3 linked regions of the Oryzias latipes genome follow. The protein of the gene in region 1 binds, or shares a complex with, the protein of each later gene. Links are inferred from orthologs where the notes say so. Each region holds a gene or a part of one and is shown on either strand. Other genes may lie near its edges.

Region 1 (4,009 bases):
GGCCCGGTGCTTGTCCAGCCCCGCGGCCAGCAGGTTGCTGTCCACCGGGTTCCAGGCCAAAGTGTTGCACTGACGGGCGTGTTTGGGCACGAACTCCTTCCCCACCAGCTCCTTGCAGGCGGCGTTGTGGCTCTGACCCAAACTGGTGAGCACGACTCTGCCGTTGGCTTGACCCACAGCCAGCAGACACTCGGGCTCCTGCTTGGGGTACCAGGCCACACATTTCATGTAGGGGGTGTCGGAGTTGATGGCCAGCAGCGTGGCGGCGGTTTCCTCCGACAGGGGCAGCGAGCCGGGCTTCGTCTCGGCGCTGCAAACAGGCCCGATCCGGTACAGGCCCAGCTCGGAGTCACAGATGACGTAGCGGTCCGGGTGGTGCGGCGACCACAGGATGTCCGGCTTTGAGCCGCTCATGGTGCAGCTAGAAGACTCGTCTGTTCTCCCCAACCTGAAAAACGACAGAAGGTTTTACCTCCACGAACGCAAACGCCACCGACCAGAAACCAAAGTGATGGATTCCACCACGAAAACTGGACAGAGGAGGGATGGTCCGAAAATGAGAGATGTACTCGTTCAAAACGCCGCAGATGGGCGGCGAATTCAGGACTGTGCGTTTAAAAAAAAAATACTACTTGAATGTCAAAGTGAAATAACCAAATAAGTAAATAAATAAACCTTAATAGACAGATATAAAATGGTAACTGTCAATAAATACATTAAAATAAATAAATAAGTAAAACATAAATAAAACTGACCTAAAAAAGGAAACTGTTAAAAACCTGAACAGTCTCTGCAGCCCTGAGGCATGCTGGGAGTTTGTTCCACAAACCCATAATAACTGAATGAGGCCTCGCCGTGTGTTTCAGTTCTAACTTTTGGGGAATCCAAAAGGCCTGAATCAGAGGACCTCAGGGTCCACCAGGACTCATCCGTCTGAAGGCCCGAGACCATAAAAACATTTAGAAACGTCTACGCTGTAAAATCCCATAATCAAGTATTTTAGTTGAGTTTCAGGCTTAAATCTCTTTTGACACTTGATGGAAGACAAAACTCACTAACTTCTCAGTAACAACCTGTTAAAAGTCAATAAATCTTCAGTCCATTGATCTTTAAAACTTTTCTTTTTCTGAAATACAAATAGATTTTTAACTCCTACATCATATTTTAAGCAGAAGTTTTATTTGTGATGATCTCATTTAAAAGAGATTAACCTGCTTGATTTGGGGAAACTGTGACACACAACATTTTTAAAGACAAAGTTGTCTTAGTGTGCGATTCTAGTCTTAATTTAGGACGATCACGGTCTAGAAATGAGGATTAATGAAAGGCGTTTAACAACGATCCGATTCTCTGACGTAAAACGGATCCAGGTCGTCTTTAAAACTTCCAGCAGTAAGAAATTCCTGCTACTGAACAGTTCTCCAGATTCTTTGGATTTCTTCAAGTGTGAATGAAATCTGTGTCCAAACCAACCAGTAAACTAGAATGAATGTCAAATCCATTCACATGTTAGTTTCCTAAAGTTCACCACTGTTGTTTTTCCACATCCAAAGAATCCAAAGGGAACATTCTTAGAACATTCTAGACACTGGATGGTCACATGACTTTATTCAAAGTCTGTCCACACATTGAATGATCCGTGTTATTGACGTCACGTGTGTTTTCCACTGTTTTTACCTTAAAGTCAAATAAACCTACTTCCTCTCAATCTAAATGGTATTTTCCAATGTTGATTACAGGTCGATTTATCTCAATTTTAATGTAGTTTAGGTTGAATCGATTAACAAATTGTCTCAGACAGATCAATTGGTTTGGACAAGTTGATTAATGATTACACCTCTAAGAGTTGAATGGGTTATATTTAATTGGGTTATTAAGTGTATAAATGTACCTACTTTAAGGATAGTAAAAAAAAAAACTTTCAGGTCTCTTTAAGACATAATATTTCCAATTTCCAGACCAAGAAGCCTAAATATGAGTGCATGACAGATTGTATTTTGTCTTAAAAGAGAAAATCATTGCAGCTTATTTTCAGAAATCTTCCCAAATACGTTTCAGTGGCAGATTCTTTTCACTTAAAGCAAAACAAAACTTATATTCTAGATTTTTCCTGTGAATTTCAAGGAAAATTCACGTCATGCTTTCATAAAAACCTTGAATAAATGTGAAGTCAGGTTACAAACATCAAACCCTGTTTGTCCTAAAATCCATTTAAGGTTCCAATCTAATCTGTTTGACGTTTTAATCACAGAAGGAGAGACTTTCAGGAGCAAAGGAACATTTAAAAAACCAGGATGGTTTTTATTTCACAAGCAGAAAAAACGCGTTTCTAGCTCATGGTTCCGTATAATAAAACACACATTTTATCTTATGTGAGAAATTCACTCCAAACGTGCGAATTCCTCTAGTTATATGTCATTACTTTAAAACTAATATCAAACCAAACAACTTCTGTCATTTATTTTGTTTAAAAAAGTCGCAGTAAACTACGAACAAAATGCGTTTTAGAATTGTTCACTCAAAAATCAGAAAGTTTGTTGACATGCTAATCTCACCAAGCTAATGCTAATGTTAACAGATCCAACGGAAAGGTTTTTATTTTGTTATTAAATCTAAATCTCCGACATATTTCATAGGAAATGATTCTCTAAGGACGCAGACGGTACTTACTCTCAGCAGGTTTAAACACACGAACGAGGTTCGGCTGGAAAACCACATGTCGCACACTCACAACTTTGGAGGAGCACAAGGATGTTGTGTGTTACACCAAAATATGTCCGTGTAGCAACAGCTGTCGGCGGTGTAACATTCCACTACGGGTTGCTGGACATAGAAACTACCACTAGAGGGCGCAGGAGTCACAGAAACGAAAGATAAGAACTCAGGAGACAAATCACAATTACTTTAAAACATAAATAGAAGCAGATTTATAATCTTAGTCTCCGTGGACGCAAAAAAAATAAAGTAAATATTTAAAAGCAAATGCATAATAATGAACTAAAATTAACATAAAAAGTTAAAATTAAAAATAAGTTATAAAAGAAAATATTTTTACAATTCCAATAAATATCCAGGGTTTCTAGAGAGAGGAGAGAGTGATGAGAAATCTGGATGAAGGAAGTGATGAAGTTTGGAGTTCAGGACAGGAATGCAGGAGGACAGATGGTGGAGGACCGTGCTAAAAGATTGGGAGCTTCTCCCAGAAGACCCAGCAGCTCCAGCTAAAGACATCATGGAGACTCGTTTCATCTGGAATGAGGAACGCAGATGAGGAGACTGTGCTGGAATGAGGAGAGTTCAGGAGTTTGTGAGGAGAAAAAGGTTAGCAGAAGTTGTGCAGGACATCCACAAGATGTTCTGTAGGACAGTGGAGCTGAAGGTGGAGGTCTGAACACATCGAGGAGGAGGAGGAACAGGGATGATGTTGGTAAAAGGATGGAGCTGCCAGAAGGGAAGAAGGTGGATGGATATAAAGAGTGAGGAGGATGCATTTGAGAGGATGAGATGGTGCTAGATGATTTGATTTGATGATTTTGTGACGCTCTGTCACATCTGCAGACAAACTAACAGTGAAGACTTATGAAAAGACATGGTGGAGGTGCTTCAGGGCTGCTTTTAGCCTCAGGGTCTGCTTTTATGGTTCTCCAGGAATTGCCAAAGACGGGTGACCTCCTTCAGATCATCATCTGTGTTTGATGTTTGAGTCGTTTTCATCTCTGAAGGCTCCAAATTGAAGAAACTACCCTGGGAGTGTCTGCAAAGATCCCATAAAACGAGCTGCTGGAGCTCCATCAAATATTAACAGAGTTTCAATGATTCCTTTATTATCTCCTCAAGCAACAGAAATACTGTCCCACAATGCTTTGCAGCTGCAGCTCCAGTTCTCATCCATGTGAAGAACAAAAGGCTGAACGGGAGCAGCTTCTGCAGCATCTCAGACACCTTCTCCCTCAGTTATGGGTTCAAGAACGTCGACTCTAAAGTAAAAAAAATAAAGGAAAGATCATTT
Region 2 (3,810 bases), about 23 Mb from region 1:
ATGCATTTTTACAAATTCCAGTCTGGCTCTTTCATGATTTCCTTTAAACAGTGGTGTCCTCCTTGGTCGTCTCCCATGAAGTCCACTCTGGCTCAAACAACCATGAATGGTGCGATCTGACAATGATGTACCTTGATCTAGGAGTTCAACTTTAATGTCTTTAATTTTCAATAAATTTTAATTTGTTACTTTTGAACGTTTCAAGTCATTTCAGTGAGCATTGTGGACTTTCTTTCTTTAACTGAGGGGTACCAACAATGTTGTCCACCACTGTATGTCATTGAGAAGCTGGTAGGGAAAATCCAAAAACCATTTGAGTTGACTGAAGCCTGAAGCAGTTTTCTGCCTGACAACAGCCCTTCATCAAAGGAGGAAATTCCCTATGAAGCATTGGTGACAAAGCCTCATGCAGGTGGAGTGGACCAGGAGGATCATCCAGAAAAAAAGCCGCTTTCTCACGTGGACAAACGCTTCCACAGTCAGAAACTGAAGCTCAGAGGTCAACACGTCTGCAAAGTTCTTTATTCCAAGTTCATGACAGCCATTCTTCCTATTCTAAGAACAATCACAGCTCTTCTGCCTCTGCTAAGGACAGCAGTGCTCTGGAGGAGTGTCTGTGAGGAAGACTCTGCTGCTGCTGAGGCTGAGGAACCAGCTCAGCATCGCAGTGCTCTATGAGGGAGGAAGGTGGCAGCAGGTGACCAAACCTGCTGCCCGCTCTGGGAGCATCCAAAGGTGGAAAGAAATACCTGAAGCAAGAACGGACGGACAGGCAGAGGAAGGGAAACAGAGTCGAAAAATACAGACAGGGAAGAACAAAATGAGGAGTGCACAAGGGAGGACATGAAACAGGAAGTAGAATAAAAAATTAAACTGAGAAATGAAGTATGTCTGCAACAGAAACTAAACAGGAAGTAATGTCAGGTGGGCCGGAACGAGACTTTTATTCTTTAAAAAACCACCCTAATAAAACCAGTGTGAAGCATCAGACAACCTGTCAATCAGGGAATCAAACCTAGCTACTGTTCATGCATGTGGTTGTTGTGCACTAAAAGTAATGTCAGTGAACCCCAGACATTCCTTCTGTGGGCAAACAGCTATTCACCAGATCATTAGTAATATGCAGGAGTCTGGTCTATCTTTGAGGAGGTCAGCGGCCGCAGGGGAGGAGCAAACGGAGCTCTCCTGCCAATCCTGCATGCAACAAGCAACACAACAGCAAATTACCTTCAAGACGCTCTGCTCACACACACACACACACACACCCACACACACCACACACACACACACACACACACACACACACCCACACACACCACACACACACACACACACACACACACATCACTGGACACAAGGTGAGTCTGTGACAGAGAGGGCGCAGCACCCACAGCTGTTATTCTGGTTAAAGGCCAGGCAGGACGTCCGGCCGTTAGCCCAGGATTATTTACCCGAGCACAAATACAGCCACGCATCCAATCTGAAAAACCCCAGACCCCCCATTAATCCTTTGTGCATCTGCCACGCTTTTATTTGTGAGCATTCTGCTGAGGAGCATGAGCAGCTGCTGCCAGCAGAGCTGTGGATGGCAGGACGAGCCCTCAATCCCAACTTCCCCGGGACTTTTCACAAGAGACGGAAATGAAGGTGGTTTGAGATTTGTTGATCAGGAACTCCCTTGGTGTTGGGCTCAACATGTTCCATAACGAGAGCTTAGTTTCCACGGTGGAGGTGGCTGTATTTATCCTCACATTTCAGTGTTACGGGTTATTAAGGTTCATTCAAGCTTCTCCCCTCAGCAAGGAGTTTGGCTACAGCTGCACCAGGATGCTGAGACTCAACGCCGCGTCTCACAGCCGCTACGTACATTTTGCATGTTTTCCATGTATGACCTTTCGGTCTTTCATGATACATGCGTGATAATCCGAACTCATGTTTCTTGCGTTTGTTGTTCATCAATGTGCGCAGATGTCCGTCGAGGGTGTCGGCTGACGGGCCTTTACGTGAATTTGGTTTTAAGCTGTTCAAAATTTTCAGACAGTTCAGAGTTATGCAGTTTCTGCAATCGTGCAAGATTTTTGCGAAATGCGTTCGCGAATTTGTGTCCACATAATGGACTTTTCAAGCATTAGCAGTGATGTATTTTTATATCACGTTTTTTAATTGACGCACAAATCATTAAAAAATTACATATGAAAAGCACAATCATCACACCCTTGCGCTATCTTGTGGGGTCCAGATGACCCCACTCTTGTGGGGTCATCTGGACCCCACAAGATAGCACAAGGGTTAAATTGATTTTTGTGGTGTTTGCTTGGTCTTCACAAGAAACAACATTCCCCTGAAAAAAGTGGAGCACATTGCAAACTGACAGGAGTTTTATTTCGATTTTTACAGCTGAACACCCGTTAGTCCTTTCATACAACAGAGGGAACATTGGCCCTCTTATGCCATACAGCAATAAACAAAAAACAAAAAAAAACCCTCCCAGCACAGAAAGATGTCGACAGCCAAGCTCTTTACAGGAGGCGCGGTCGGTGTGAGTCCAAATGGCAGGTTCAGTTGTTTCAGTGGCAGCTCCGGGTCAGTGTGAGCCCACACGAAGCAGTCAGGCTTTAACGAGGGGGTGTGGCCGCAGATGCACCACGCCACCTACCTTCCTGCTGATATCCCATTCAGAGCATTCTGGGAGAGGAGGGAAGAGCCCACCATGGTGCTGATGGGCTGACCTGAAGACGCGCTCAGCGGGCTGCCGTCTCCCCTTAGGATGCCGGTGCACTTCCAGTTGTCCATGTAGTTTGCTGCAGAGCATTCATGCAGAGGACAGCTTAGGGAAGAACTGCGGACACCTTCAATACACCAAAAGCTGCATTCACCTCAAACACGATTCACACATGAAGGGCATCCAGTTCAATGCCAATATACAGTCCTGATCTGAGGTCCTACAGTGCCACATGAGCATCTGGAATGTTACATCGATCTGGCGGCAGCATAAATTTGGGTGTGATGAGGCATCAAAAATCTAAAGCGAAGAATTCACGCCATGTCAACCAATCAGGGGCTCAGCTTTGGCACATGACGTGTTAATGTCAGCAAGTGGAGCCTAAAACCAACATGGAGGAGAATCTCATCGGTCTCCTCCTGAACTTTATATTTTTCTTTTTACTTTTAAGACAATAACAGAAATGTCCTCTAGTTTGATTAATGCTGGACAGCAAGTGGTCAAACTGGGTCACAGAGAGGTGGAAGAACCGCTGAAAGCAGCAGGCATTCAGACGCAGCTCCTGCAGTAGACGGTGAAGCTCTACGTACTGGAGGAGTCTCTGAATGATCCGATAAACCCAGACATGGAGATGTGATTACTAGGGGTTGACGGAAAATTTATTTAGCGATACGTCGCGATATTTCATTTGGCGATATTTGTATCGATTCAAAATGCTGTCCAGGACGACATTTTTTTTACCGTACTTTCACGACCATAAAGTGGACTTAAAAGTCTCACATTTTCTCCAAACTATAGGGGCGCACTATGAGGCGGTGCGCCTAATGCGTAGCTGTGAGGCGTAGAAGAAGACGGGGAGGGAAGTAGGGGTTTGAACAATATTGTGTAGTGACCTAACTGGAGCTTCACTCTGTATGCGGTGGTAACGACTGAGCTGCCAATCTACTGGCTGCGTTGAGAAGCTGTACATACACTTCCCAACCCCAAACAATTCAAGTCGAGTCGAGGAGCGGTGAAATCCATGTTTACTTCAGCGTGGGCAGTACTGATCCGTTACAGTGATCCCTCGCTATAACACGGTTTACTTT
Region 3 (3,500 bases), on another chromosome or scaffold:
AAGGAACTGACCACGCAGGATCCCCGCTCAGTGATTTGTTTTTTTTTGTTTTTTTAACTTGTCCTGTCCAACAGCTAGGCAGGCAGATGAGAGCTGAGGGCCTCTTGTGTTGGAAATATTTTACTTTAACAAGAGGGGTTATTAATCTTCAGACAAACCAAAGGTATGTCTGAATAAACCCCTTTTGTAATTGAGGCCAAACTTTATTAATTTCAATCATGTTTGAAAATCTTTGGTGTTGGACCGGACGGAAAAGGAAAGAGGGGAAGAAGAGAGAGGGACGTCAGAGAGAGGGGGGGGGTAGGGGGTGATAATAGGGGGGAGGGGGGGTAAGACCATGAAGCAGCATAAAGCAACAAGTTTACTGGTTGTTTATCATTACGGTACGGTTCAAATGTAGTACAAAAAGGGCGGGGCCTGTCCACACACACACTCAAATGTTATCAACACACCTGCTTGCTGCAAAAATGTCCACCTGTCGACAAGTCAACATGTACACAAAACAGACAGTGCCCGCACGCACACCCATGCCCCAAAACCAACTAGTGTGAAACACCTCACCCATTCCATCACGCAAACCACTAGTGCAAAGGCGAGCCAACACCCGCGCCCAGGCGAGCGCCCACGCTCCTCCAAAATGGATGGTGGAATGCGAAAAGAAGGAGGGAGAGCCCCGCTCAGTTATAATTGCAGGCCTGCAGTTGTAAAATGCTGGGTCGCTCGGGTAGTATTGCGCCTCCGCGGTTGTAAGGTTCACTCAATCACTTCCTGAATACGCCCGCTCAGTTGTCTTTACGCCCTTTTACTTTATGGCAGAGATGAAACGCCATACACACCGTCACAGCTCTATTCCAAACAGTGCCTGTGATGCGGCAGTAACACGGCAGCAATAAGGGAGTAACAGCACTAACAGGGCTGGTTAAACAAACATACCGGTAAAAGTCACTGAGAGCAGCAGTAACTTATACGGGTCTGCACGGCACGCGCCTTCTGTGCACTAAAACCATGGAAGTCTTCCTCCTCAGTGTAGGATTGGAACTTTAACTTGAAAATAAGCCGCAGGGTTGAAAGCGTGTGACAAAAATAGCGGTTTATAATCCGGAAATTATGATAAATATGTCAGAATGGTCGCTTAATGTGTGTATTTTTACTGGATGTTCGAAAAAAATAAATAAATGTTTTGAATTACCACCCATTTTTAAAACAGCAGACCAGAGTCAGCAAAACAACAAATAATGTCACTTGAAACTATGTCACACTCAAACTTTTTTATGTCAACTTCCTGGTTAACTTCAGCAGTAAACAAAACAAACATTGTTGATTTGGGCCTTTGACAAGAAATCCTGAACATGCTTTCATGACATTTTGTATTCTATTTTTATTCTAATCTATTTAATCCATTTTATTCTCTGAACATATTTCAGTAAACTGAACCTCGGTCTTCATCCACACTTAATAAGAGATTTATTTACTTCCCGTGTTTAGTTTATGTCTTTAAAATCCAACATTATTCTCCATTTTGGAGTGATAATTACATAGCATTAAGTGCCTTTCTACAACACTCCATTAGATCAAACTTCTCTTTTTTTTCAGCTAAAACCGATGCGTTTCAGTGGTAAGGCCCTCAGATTAGAGTCATTTCAAGACAACGTTGTGGGCAGAAGATGCCAGTTGTGACGGAGAACACCTTCAGAAACCACAATCAGAAAAAGGAAACCAACCATCCATCACGTAAGAATCATTAAAAGACCTTTTACTGAAGCAGTGTAGACTCCAGCAACCTACTTTTTTATGTCGACTGGATTGTGTTAAAAACAGAATGATAACAATAATAATAATTTATTTATAATGCAGCTTTCATTAAACATTACCTCAAAGTGCTACAACAAGATGTGAGAAAAAAAAGAACACTAAATAAAAATTAGCCAACTAAACAAAGCTAACTAAAAGCTAAAAAACTAGCACTTAACAATAAGGGTGTGACGGTAACCGCATCACCGTGGTGATGTTTGCTTTTTAATTTTTTTTTTTTTTTTAGTTCTGCATATGGTGCGTGATTGGAACTATAATCAACACATTTAACACATTCATCTTTGCTGATAATTCACTTTTTCTACTAGTCCTATGTGTTCAGACTTCAAAGGTTTCTGGGGGAAACTTTTCATTACTGTTCTCCTTCACTCCGTAACACCAAACATGAACACGCACTGTTAGAGTGCGATAAACATCACTACATGTTTTGTTTGGAAACTATTTTGTGCAGCGCAACGTTACGTGTCCGTATAAACAAAGGCGGAGCCTCCTGCCCCGCCTTCTTCATGGGTGTCAGGCTCACGGCTACTGGAAAGGTGACAAAGTGTCTGCTGTTTGGTATATTACTGGGCAATATATAATATTCTGAGAAGATGTCTGTACCAGAGAGCACAGGTGAAGCCTCGCGTGCAGCTGGAGAGCGATCCGCTGCAGAAGAATCAACACGCACCCCCAACACACTTGTGTGCGCTCCTTCCTCCAACACACGCAGCACGCTGACACACATACACAGTCATTGTACAACACCTATATGGTTAGTTCATTAGGTAGATAGGTAGTAGTGAGTTGTTACTGTTGTTTGTTAATAAAGAATACTGCGTTGTAATTGTATTCATTTGCGACGCGGCCACCGGGGGATTTTGTGTTTGGCGGTTAATCGCGACACCGCGCCCCCTGCTGGTTCATCACATCAAAAATCCCACACCGTCACAGCTCTACTTATTAAAGAGATGCCTTCAAAAGAGCTTTAAAAGAGTTCAGGGTCTGCGATGTTCTGAGATGTAAAGGAATGGAATCATTAAGACGGTGATGAAGCATGAAGAAATGTGTGTTTGGTTTTATCTTTTGGCACTCCCTTAATCATCCAGATGGTTTTAAATTCCTGCGGTGAGTGTAAAGGAGTTTCTCCTGTTGAACGGCAAAGGTACAGGAGTGGCGGTTTGATGGAAACTCACCAAAACGTGGTCGAAGCTGAAGGTACTGATGTAATAGGCAGAGATGTCGCCGTCAGCGAGAGGCTGCGATATCTGGGCGACGATGCCGCATTCATCTGGAAAGATAACACAAAATGAAGGAAAACGATGTCAGAAGAACTGAAATGAAACCATTTTCTTTACTTGAATAATCCATAAGGCAAACAAATATGGATATTGCACAGCTTGATAAATTTGTGATATATTGTGCAGGCCTAAAGGTTTCAAAGAATGCAGGCTGGAAGGTTGGCCCTCAGAACAAAGTCCAGACATCTACAGGCAACAACAGGTCGGTGGAAACCCAGAGAGCTCAGAGTGGAAGACGAGGACTTTCTTACCAAAACCAAGTGGCTGTCCTCCGATCCGGACCATTCTCCAAAGCTCCCCGGAGGAGCTGGTGAACAGAAGATCAGAAGGAAACCTAGAGGAATGAGAGAGAGAAGCTCCACTTCAATCAAATACAATTGATCATGAAATAGTAGAGGTAGAAACACC

What was found.
Region 2: the proteins of mios (region 1) and seh1l are in contact, whole or in part, in a cryo-EM structure (PDB 7UHY), measured with the Homo sapiens proteins. The link is inferred for Oryzias latipes from reciprocal best matches to the Homo sapiens genes MIOS and SEH1L. Residues at the interface, in NP_001357005.1 of Homo sapiens: Arg279, Arg316, Ser317, Phe353, Glu354, Arg355, Ile356, Ser357, Leu358, Ala359, Trp360, Pro362, Leu366, Met367, Trp368, Ala369, Cys370, Gly371, Arg372, Leu374, Tyr375, Glu376, Cys377, Thr378, Glu379, Glu380, Glu387, Asp389, Ile390, Ala391; in NP_112493.2 of Homo sapiens: Met1, Phe2, Val3, Ala4, Arg5, Ser6, Ile7, Ala9, His11, Lys12, Asp13, Leu14, Ile15, His16, Asp17, Val18, Phe20, Phe22, His23, Gly24, Arg25, Met27, Trp47, Ser173, Ser174, Ser175, Asn230, Leu231, Gly232, Arg233.
Region 3: the proteins of mios (region 1) and cytosolic arginine sensor for mTORC1 subunit 1 are in contact, whole or in part, in a cryo-EM structure (PDB 9LVK), measured with the Homo sapiens proteins. The link is inferred for Oryzias latipes from reciprocal best matches to the Homo sapiens genes MIOS and CASTOR1. Residues at the interface, in NP_001357005.1 of Homo sapiens: Ala83, Asn84, Val109, Pro110, Lys111, His112, Ala113, Arg114, Asp134, Lys135, His136, Arg137, Asn184; in NP_001032755.1 of Homo sapiens: Val94, Ser116, Thr117, Tyr118, Gln119, Thr120, Asp121, Thr188, Tyr236, Leu255, Thr256, Ser257, Ser258, Ala295, Tyr296.

The regions. Positions count from the first base shown.
Region 1 is NC_019874.2:30,578,522-30,582,530, reverse strand, and holds the start of mios (GATOR complex protein MIOS), read right to left. Parts: upstream 2,801-4,009; 5' UTR 2,671-2,800; intron 449-2,670; 5' UTR 415-448; coding exon 1-414. UniProt on the Homo sapiens protein: As a component of the GATOR2 complex, functions as an activator of the amino acid-sensing branch of the mTORC1 signaling pathway. The GATOR2 complex indirectly activates mTORC1 through the inhibition of the GATOR1 subcomplex.
Region 2 is NC_019874.2:7,228,450-7,232,259, reverse strand, and holds the end of seh1l (nucleoporin SEH1), read right to left. Parts: intron 2,802-3,810; coding exon 2,657-2,801; intron 1,195-2,656; coding exon of another isoform or gene 1,113-1,194; exon of another isoform or gene 756-1,112; intron 750-755; coding exon 566-749; 3' UTR 501-565; downstream 1-500. UniProt on the Homo sapiens protein: Component of the Nup107-160 subcomplex of the nuclear pore complex (NPC). The Nup107-160 subcomplex is required for the assembly of a functional NPC.
Region 3 is NC_019867.2:3,167,677-3,171,176, forward strand, and holds part of cytosolic arginine sensor for mTORC1 subunit 1, read right to left. Parts: intron 3,427-3,500; coding exon 3,344-3,426; intron 3,083-3,343; coding exon 2,988-3,082; intron 1-2,987. UniProt on the Homo sapiens protein: Functions as an intracellular arginine sensor within the amino acid-sensing branch of the TORC1 signaling pathway. As a homodimer or a heterodimer with CASTOR2, binds and inhibits the GATOR subcomplex GATOR2 and thereby mTORC1.